Linked DNA regions of Drosophila melanogaster. The protein of the gene in region 1 interacts with the protein of each later gene in a biochemical or structural test. Each region holds a gene or a part of one and is shown on either strand. Other genes may lie near its edges.

Region 1 (4,288 bases):
TCAAGTCCTTCGATGCGTTGCCTGCCAACTCCAGGACCTAAAATGATTGGGAAAACCAAAGAAATTAATCAAAGATTTCAATTGAGGATAAGCAAAAGCTAAAGCAATTTATTTACTTGTATCGCTCATTACCAAAACAAACTTTGAAATCTTTTAAATAAAATTTCTTTAAATAAACATCACAACATTAAAAAAAAAAAACTCAACGGTAAACGTTATATTCGGAAAAAAGGCGGGAAAAGTGTAACTGCCTAATGGCGCAAAAACTCTATAAAACTGTATAATTCTTAGAAAATTAAAAGCGTTATACATTAAATCGAAACTACTGTTATTTAGATTTAAACAACTGATAATGTGCGCCTCGAGCATTTCATGAATTAGATGTACATTTTCATCATTCTCATTCCACACGAAATGTCAATAAGAAAGTGTGTTTTTGAATTGGAACGGGGAAATTCGAAATAACTGTACACAATAAGAAAAGTGGAGAGAATGCAACTGTGGAAAAAAAAATGTTTCCCTTGAATATTTCTGGTAAATGCTGTTTACATTGAAGCGAGAAAAAGTACCACGAGAGAAAAGCGGGAAAACTCGGCGGAAGCACACTTACCTCGGCGGTCAGGTATTCCAATATGGCAGCGGAGTACACGGCTGCAGTGGCTCCGACGCGTCCATGTGACGTAGTGCGGCTCTTGAGATGACGATGGATGCGACCCACGGGGAACTGTCCGGGACATAAGAGGCAGGTAACTGGTTAATTGGCTTGACCGGCTGGCTTGTTTATGTTTTTGTCAACCCCAACCAACCAACGAAGGCGGGCACCCTGTTAGTGTGGTGGAATATGCTCGTTGGCGAGGTGGGTACCGAAAAGGCGCCAAAAACCGAGGTACAGATTGTAAAACTCACCTGAAGACCCGCGCGCGCGGAACGCGATACCGCCTTCGCCTTGGCCTTGCCCGAATCCTTGCCTGCTTTACCGCCAGCCTGCGAATAGACACAGCACAATGCATTTCTTAAAATAACGAATTAAAGCGAATGTGGCACGAGTCGCAGAAGAAAACACAAAATGGAGGCACCGCTGCCAAAGTGAGGTTACGGCCGATTGCCCGCAGCAGCACAATAACAAATGCCCGCCGATTTCGCTGCTCCTTGTTGTTGCGGCCTACGTGGTGTCCACTTTGCGTGCACTTTGTTGTCCGCGTCTCCGCAATCCCCGCATCAATATTTAATTCGCGGGGGGCACGCGCAGTGGGAAAAGCGAGATGCGCTGCCGCTCAAAAATTCACCGCAATATTACCATTTCTGTTCAATCGATTTTTCTGCTGCCTGTAAACTGCGCCTGCTTACGAACGTGACTCTGGGCACTCGGTGATTCTAACTGCCGCGATGGGAATGCCTATTTTGTTGCAACACGAAACCGGAGCGTGCGAGTTGTTTCTACGGAATTCGGTTTCGACTACTTGAAATTTTTTCGGGGAAAAGACGCCGTCAGCGGACGCCAGGGGTGGAACGGAATATATCGATGTGTGGCCAATCGATATGCCCTCACCCCTAGATGGTAGCTTCCTTTTGTGGCCGCACATTGCCAAGTGGCGCCGTTTTGCAGAGCTGTCTATCGTAATATATCCTTGAAATCATAATCATCCTTTTTTATTTTTATGTTTCAATGACTCGGCAACAGCCCTGGAAATACGTCGTTTTTACAAGTAGTCCTACTGGGTTATATTTTTTTTTAAGCTGTCACTCACTTGACAACCCTGAAGGACGCTACTCCCCGCGCCGATTGGCAACCCTGATGGCCCGGCATTTCGAGCGGAATTTGCGAATATTATACTTGGCCGCTATTTAACGACGATCTTGCCCAGAGAATGCCGCGTGTAGCCAAGCCGAAAGCCGCCGCTCCGGCCAAGAAGGTGGTGTCGGCCAAGAAGGCCAAGAGCAAGCTGTACAAGATGCCGGAGAAGGTGAAGGAGGGCACAGTTTTCACCGATTTAGCCAAAGGCCAGTGGCGCATTGGACCCTCGATCGGAGTTGGAGGATTCGGTGAGATCTACGCGGCTTGCAAAGTGGGTGAGAAGAACTACGATGCTGTGGTCAAATGCGTGAGTGCCGCTCGTTTTTTTTTTGTGGAGATTTGCTATTATAATCGTATTTTTAGGAGCCACATGGCAATGGTCCTCTGTTCGTGGAGATGCACTTCTACCTGCGCAACGCCAAGCTGGAGGACATCAAACAGTTCATGCAGAAGCACGGTCTCAAGTCCCTGGGCATGCCCTACATACTGGCTAATGGTTCCGTGGAGGTCAATGGTGAAAAGCATCGATTTATAGTCATGCCGCGCTACGGCAGCGATTTGACCAAGTTTCTGGAACAGAACGGCAAGCGACTGCCCGAGGGCACTGTCTACCGACTGGCCATTCAGATGCTGGACGTCTATCAGTACATGCACAGCAACGGCTACGTTCATGCCGATCTTAAGGCAGCCAACATACTGCTGGGCCTGGAAAAAGGCGGCGCTGCGCAGGCGTACCTGGTGGATTTCGGCCTGGCCTCACACTTCGTCACCGGTGACTTCAAGCCGGACCCCAAGAAGATGCATAATGGCACCATAGAATACACATCAAGGGATGCTCATCTGGGCGTGCCAACCAGACGAGCTGATCTGGAGATACTCGGTTACAATCTCATCGAGTGGCTGGGCGCGGAGTTGCCGTGGGTCACGCAGAAACTACTGGCTGTACCCCCCAAAGTTCAAAAGGCCAAGGAAGCATTTATGGATAACATAGGCGAGAGTCTGAAGACGCTGTTTCCGAAGGGAGTGCCCCCGCCAATTGGGGATTTCATGAAGTATGTCTCAAAACTAACACACAACCAGGAGCCGGACTACGACAAGTGTCGCAGTTGGTTCTCAAGTGCGCTGAAGCAGCTGAAAATTCCAAACAACGGAGATCTCGACTTTAAGATGAAGCCACAGACCAGCAGCAACAATAATCTAAGTCCGCCCGGCACGAGCAAGGCAGCAACAGCCAGGAAAGCAAAAAAAATTGATTCGCCAGTCTTGAACTCATCACTGGACGAAAAAATCTCCGCCAGCGAAGATGATGAGGAGGAGGAGGAGAAGTCACATCGCAAGAAGACAGCCAAAAAGGTCACCCCATCAGCCCGAAACGCCAAGGTATCGCCCTTGAAGCGAGTCGCAGATAGTTCACCACCCAGCCAGAAGCGCGTTAAGACTGAGCCCAAGTCAACACCCAGGGAGAGAGCTACGCCCAAGGCCAGTCCCAAGCCAAGGAGCACGCCGAAGGCCAGCCCCAAGCCACAGACACCAACAGCAGCGCGGCTCCGTACTCCCAATGCCAAGATCAATTTCAGCCCGTCTATTTCGCTGCGTGGACGTCCCGGTGGCAAAACCGTGATCAACGATGACCTCACTCCACAGCCGCGTTCCAAGAAGACCTATGAGTTTAACTTCGAGCTCGACGTTAGCATGGATGCCAACGTAATTGTGAATGTCAAACGCAAAAAGAAAGCGGACCAGGATAAGGCGACGGCGGTTGATTCACGTACACCCTCATCCCGCAGCGCGTTGGCGTCCAGTTCGAAGGAGGAGGCCTCACCTGTGACCCGAGTTAACCTGCGCAAGGTAAACGGCCATGGCGACTCCTCCACGCCCGGCCGTAGTCCGCGGACACCAGCCGTCACTGTGCGGAAATACCAGGGATAGGAGCCTTTGTTTTCTGTATTTTTACATTTGTAACCTCATTAATAAAAACTTGAAATATTTTCTTACTTTTACCTACATTTACTGAATTCGATAGCACGTACATATCTTTAAAAATCATTTATTGAAAATGAATTATTGAATTATTATTATGAATGAACGTTCAGAATTTTATGCGGATTGTAACTTTATACTTAATTATTAGAGATGCTAAATTACTGCTTGGATCTGCGCTTGCTGCTGCTGCCGCTTTCGTGATGCTTGGAGGAACTGCTCTTGGAGCTGGATTTGGTGCTGGAGCCGCTGCGTCGCGATGAGGTGCCACTGCTGTTGTGCTTCTCCATTCCGCCGATGGCGCTAAGAGAAGACGCCGCCGTGGACTTAGAGGATCGTTCTTCCTTGTGCGATTTGGACGACGACGAAGAGGAGGACTTGTGGCCATGCTTGCTGCTGCTACTGCTGCTGGCATTCGTGGAACTGCTGGGCTCGGGCCGGTAGAAGGGTGACGAGGAGTTGGAAGAGTTCGATGAGCGCGACGACGCGACCGACGATTTGGCTTTGCTGGTC
Region 2 (4,671 bases), on another chromosome or scaffold:
CTAGTGTTGCCAACGGCTTACGGGAAAAGCGTAACTTATAGCACAAAAAGCCGTAAAACAGCTGATGTAACGCAAGAGTTAAAACGTTTATCAATTTAAGCGGTGGATCGGCTGGTAATCACGTCTTGGAAAGGCGATTATTGGTAGGAAAATTAAACTGACACACACACACACACGCACACTCACCCAGCTGCAGGGAAATTTGAATGGCACACACACATACAAACGCACGGCGGGGTTTTTGGTGGGGTTCTTGTTTCTCTTCGTTTTTTTGTGCTTCAATTCTTAAACTCTTCTAAGTGTCCAGCTGAATCTTGAACTGCGTCTTTGTTTTTCTTTGCTGCCTGGGCAGCCGATGCCAACGTACTCGAACCTTATTTAATAACTTTGGCTCGTTAACTTGACAATTTTGTTTACTATTTACAGCTTTTTCCAAGGAAACGTTGTTGCTACCTTTCACAGGGTTTACACTTTTGTGTGCGAAGAGCAAACGACTATTTGGAAGGGAGATGGAGAGAGCGCGAAGCGGGCAGTTGTATTAGTCCGTAATTTTGTGCATAATTGCACCCGCTTGCAATCACTAATTAATTAAGACGAACGCTGGGGCGATGCACACAAAAAGTCGATTTGATTCGGCCGCACATCAGAATGTTTGGCCTGTAACTCTGAAATAACACACAGAGTAGCAGTGACCGCACAGCCTTTTTCCCGCTCGCACTCGCGCACCTGCACCGTCCCGTCTGCCGTCGTGTATGGCCGTCTCGCTCTGCGAGTCTATATACAAAGAAAAACACACACACACTGGCACACTGGTGTTCGCATATGCCAAAGCCGAGTTAATTTCACTTTGTTTAATCTATCGTTTGGTGTTTTTGCATTTTTTAACCGCGCAAACGGTATTTGCGCGTTTTGCGCCTCTTACTTTGCGATTTATTGCACCGCTTGGCTGTGTTTTGCAATTTCTCTCTTAATTTTCATTGGTATTCACGCGTAATGTAATTCTTAGCAGCGTGACCGCGCCGATAACGATAAAAAATACCACGGGACCAAAAATAAATACCATATGATACCACTTCAGGGAAAAGAAATCCTATTTAATACCACTCACTTTAAAAATAAGTTTTTAAAAATATATATTTTTATTTAAAAAAAGTTGTATTTATAATCAAATACTCGGTACTAATTAATTACTCGAGGACAATTAATTTTGACAAAAGGGGTTTCATTATAAAATATATATTAACCGCTTACACATAATCCCCAAACAAAACAGCGATTGGGATTTAAAAGGTTCTAAGTCCATCATTATAAAAGATCATTTCCGAAAAACAAAAAGAAATAGATTTCAAAATTAGGCGACATCAGCCCGCTGATAAAGAAACATCAAAAAGACAGAGGCTTATTTCAGCGAGTCAGAGACTCCTACTCGCCAACAATCGAAAACATAGAGAAGATATAGTCGCCAACCGATCTGCCTTCTATAGTGTTGCTTATTGTTGTCCCCTAATCAAATTAATAAAAATCTGCATTAGGCTGCTTCGCCGGCCAGCAACAAATGTTTTACACCTACTGTACTTTTCGCAGAACAGAGATCCAAATGCAGGATCGTTTCCATGACTGTACATTTATTCGGATTAGACATTAAATTACACCCTACAGCTATACATACTAACAGTGAACACGGCAAATGCTTAGCTAGCATTGGGCCACTTTCGTTGACTGCGAATAAAAATGATTGGCCGATGCCTTTAGCAGATTCCTTTTGATCGAATTACTCGGATGGCTTGTGTGTCCACCTCTTACAAGAACTCCTCGCACCAATCGTTGAGACAGTTGTAGCAATCGGATGCCTGTTTGGAGCTGGCGTGGCACACCTCCTTCATCCAGTCCTTGAACAGCTCCTCGTCCTTTTTCAGCACCAGATACTGTCCCAAAACGGTGTAGGCCTAAAACGAATGGAAATGATCGTTAGCACTTGACTGGCATTGTTTATTTGCGCACATGGCGTCATCGTATTTACACACGCACCATATCGAATCCAGCGTCCTTCAAGCGTCCACCGAGGGTTTCCCCAATTCCGGCCAGTTCCGTCACCGACTTGTTGCCCATTGGCTCCGCAACGAAGTTCCTGTGTTTCTGCGATGTGCCCGACATGTTTGTAGTTTGCTTTGCTGCTGCACGTTGCGAAATTCCAATGCTTAGCTAGATTTCAATGGCAAAATATTCGCGGCGTTTCTGAAAATGACGCACAGCCAGTGTGGCAGCAAGTGATATTTTCGAAAATGCAACAACACATCTAGATATACTAAACAAAATTAGGCAATGTAATAGGCCACGTAATTCTGGCTTTACTCATTTGCGCACCCAACAATTAACAAAGTTTAATTATTCTTTTACATAGCATTGGCAAAAAATAGAGTTTTATAAGATGCACTCAAAAATGTTTCTTTGAAATTGCGGATTACATATTTTTGTAATCTACTTAATCTACTTAGGTCAAATGCCAGCAATATTTTACATGTAAGATGTATGCTTACATGGTTTGATGTATGGTATTTTACATGACCGTTTTAGATTTTGAATACTTAAAGTTTTCTATAAATTTGAAATTTGTTATAATGTTAGTGCATTAAAGTATTGCATTTGTGAAAAATTTACATAGCCATCGCTGAAAATCTAAATAATATTTAATCTATGTGTACATAAGATGTAGCATTTTTCATAAAAACACTTATAAAAATGTAATTGTTATTGTAACTTATTTAACTAAATTACCGAACATATTTTCAAATATTTATATTGTTCCACTTTTCAATACCGGGGCAACGCACCTTAGATTAGTATGCACCGATGAACTGGGCTTAACCCAATTTAACAGCGCCGCGCTTGGGACGCCCAACTGAGTTGGAATGATAACGCCGAGACCCTTCCGACCGAGGCTTCAACCTGGCCAGCAGTCCGTCCAAAACTCCAGTCTTGATTGACACCTGGCCCTCGTCTAGCTTATCGTACGCTATAAAATCCACACACCCGATTCCCGTGGCACAGTGACGTCGACTTTGGTACAGAGATGTTAGCGCTTTGCTGGCTTTGTGGCCTGGCCCTTAGTTGTTGGATGGGTGAGTTGGGAGTTACGGGGAAACGGATATACATATGTGGCTTTGTCTCACCTGACCGAGATTCGCGCGCACACTGATGCTGAGTAATTAAAACGCTCCAGGCCACAAATTAATTGCTGGGCTGGAACCGGTTTCGAGGATTACTAATGCGTCAGCCGCCTTAATGAGCTTGGATCTGGGAAGCTGGGAAACTGGGAGCTGGGAGCTCCGATCTTTGGAATCCGGCGTCCGATCAGTTCAAGATCGACGTTTAGCTGGTCAAGATGTCCTCGAATGCGCTGGCCTGCATCTGTAATGTGATCAATCCGTGTCGCAACGAGGTGTCCACCACATTTGTGGTGGTGCAGTGGCTCATCACCGGATTCGCTGCCCTCGCCCAAGTGGTGCGACCCGTGCTGCTGCTTTGTAAAATGTTTTCAATTCGATTTAGCCATCCTTCTAAGCATAAGTTTCTGCTCCATTTTAGTTGGCATTCGTGGTGAGGTGGCTCTAAATCAGGAGGATTACAACAAAACCTGGATCTACATGCCCAATGGACAGGGTAAGCCTGAGGTGGCCTATCTGGTGGAACCTCCGCCCGAAAACCGCATCAATCTGCCACAGCTCATCAAGTTCGAGCTGTACGGAAGGTGTGTGGTTTTTTTTTATTTGATTTGAAGAGTTATCTTTCGTAGTGGTCACAATTTGAATCCTTTTATTCCAGCGACTCCAGTTCCAGTGCTGATTTCTGGATAGATGAGAATAACTTTGAGTTTCCGCAGCGCCACAAGCGAGACACCTGGCAGGAGATGGCGGAGAAATTCAATCCGGAACTGGACACCAAGATACTCGTTCACGGCTGGAAGTCCAGCACCATGAGCAATTCGATTCAATCGATTCGTGGTGCCTATATCGAACGTGGCCAGGTGAACGTGTTCGCCATCAACTGGAAGGATCAGGCGGATAATATATACTATCTAACACCGGCGCGATATACGGTTCAGGTGGGACGGGCGGTGGCCAAGCTAATTGATCTGCTGGTGGAGGAGAAGGATGCGGATCCGAATAGGATCCATCTGATTGGCCACAGTCTGGGCGCGCACATCATGGGCTATGCTGGTTCGTACACTAAGTACAGGGTAAACCGCATCACTGGCTTGGATCCAGCTCGTCCCGCTTTCGAGGATTGCATTGGTCCGGAGAATCACTTGGACGACACGGACGCCAACTTTGTGGATGTCATACACAGCTGTGCCGGATACCTGGGCTTTCGCAAACCCATCGGCATGGTGGATTTCTATCCCAATGGCGGTGGACCACCGCAACCAGGCTGCAAGGAGCTGTCGCAGATTTTCAGTAAGTTTTGGGAATTGGTTTCAATTTCTTACAAGCAGAATTGGGAAATTTCTTTTTCATTTTCAGCTGGTTGCAGTCATGGACGTTCATATGAATATTACGCGGAGTCTATTAACTCGCCCAAAGGATTTTACGGTGTTCCCTGCTCTGGACTGGATGAACTCAAGGGAAAAAATTGCACCGGCGGCAAGATCCTAATGGGTGATCCAGTTCCTCG

Evidence for each region. The genes of interacting proteins can lie anywhere in the genome.
Region 2: of the proteins of ball (region 1) and baf, one has a biochemical effect on the other in vitro, tested with the Drosophila melanogaster proteins (one study listed by BioGRID).

Annotation. Positions count from the first base shown.
Region 1 is NT_033777.3:26,864,105-26,868,392, reverse strand, and holds ball (ballchen), read left to right. Parts: upstream 1-1,585; 5' UTR 1,586-1,617; intron 1,618-1,737; 5' UTR 1,738-1,868; coding exon 1,869-2,102; intron 2,103-2,158; coding exon 2,159-3,724; 3' UTR 3,725-3,788; downstream 3,789-4,288. Other genes in the region: His2Av (histone H2A variant), read right to left, coding at 1-37, 611-724, 907-984, 1,298-1,300; IntS12 (integrator 12), read right to left, coding at 3,937-4,288. UniProt on the Drosophila melanogaster protein: Serine/threonine-protein kinase involved in somatic mitosis and female meiosis.
Region 2 is NT_033779.5:8,027,091-8,031,761, reverse strand, and holds baf (barrier to autointegration factor), read right to left. Parts: upstream 2,301-4,671; 5' UTR 2,155-2,300; coding exon 2,029-2,154; intron 1,947-2,028; coding exon 1,800-1,946; 3' UTR 1,197-1,799; downstream 1-1,196. Other genes in the region: CG7367 (uncharacterized protein), read left to right, coding at 3,383-3,524, 3,586-3,748, 3,823-4,454, 4,521-4,671. UniProt on the Drosophila melanogaster protein: Plays fundamental roles in nuclear assembly, chromatin organization, gene expression and gonad development. May potently compress chromatin structure and be involved in membrane recruitment and chromatin decondensation during nuclear assembly.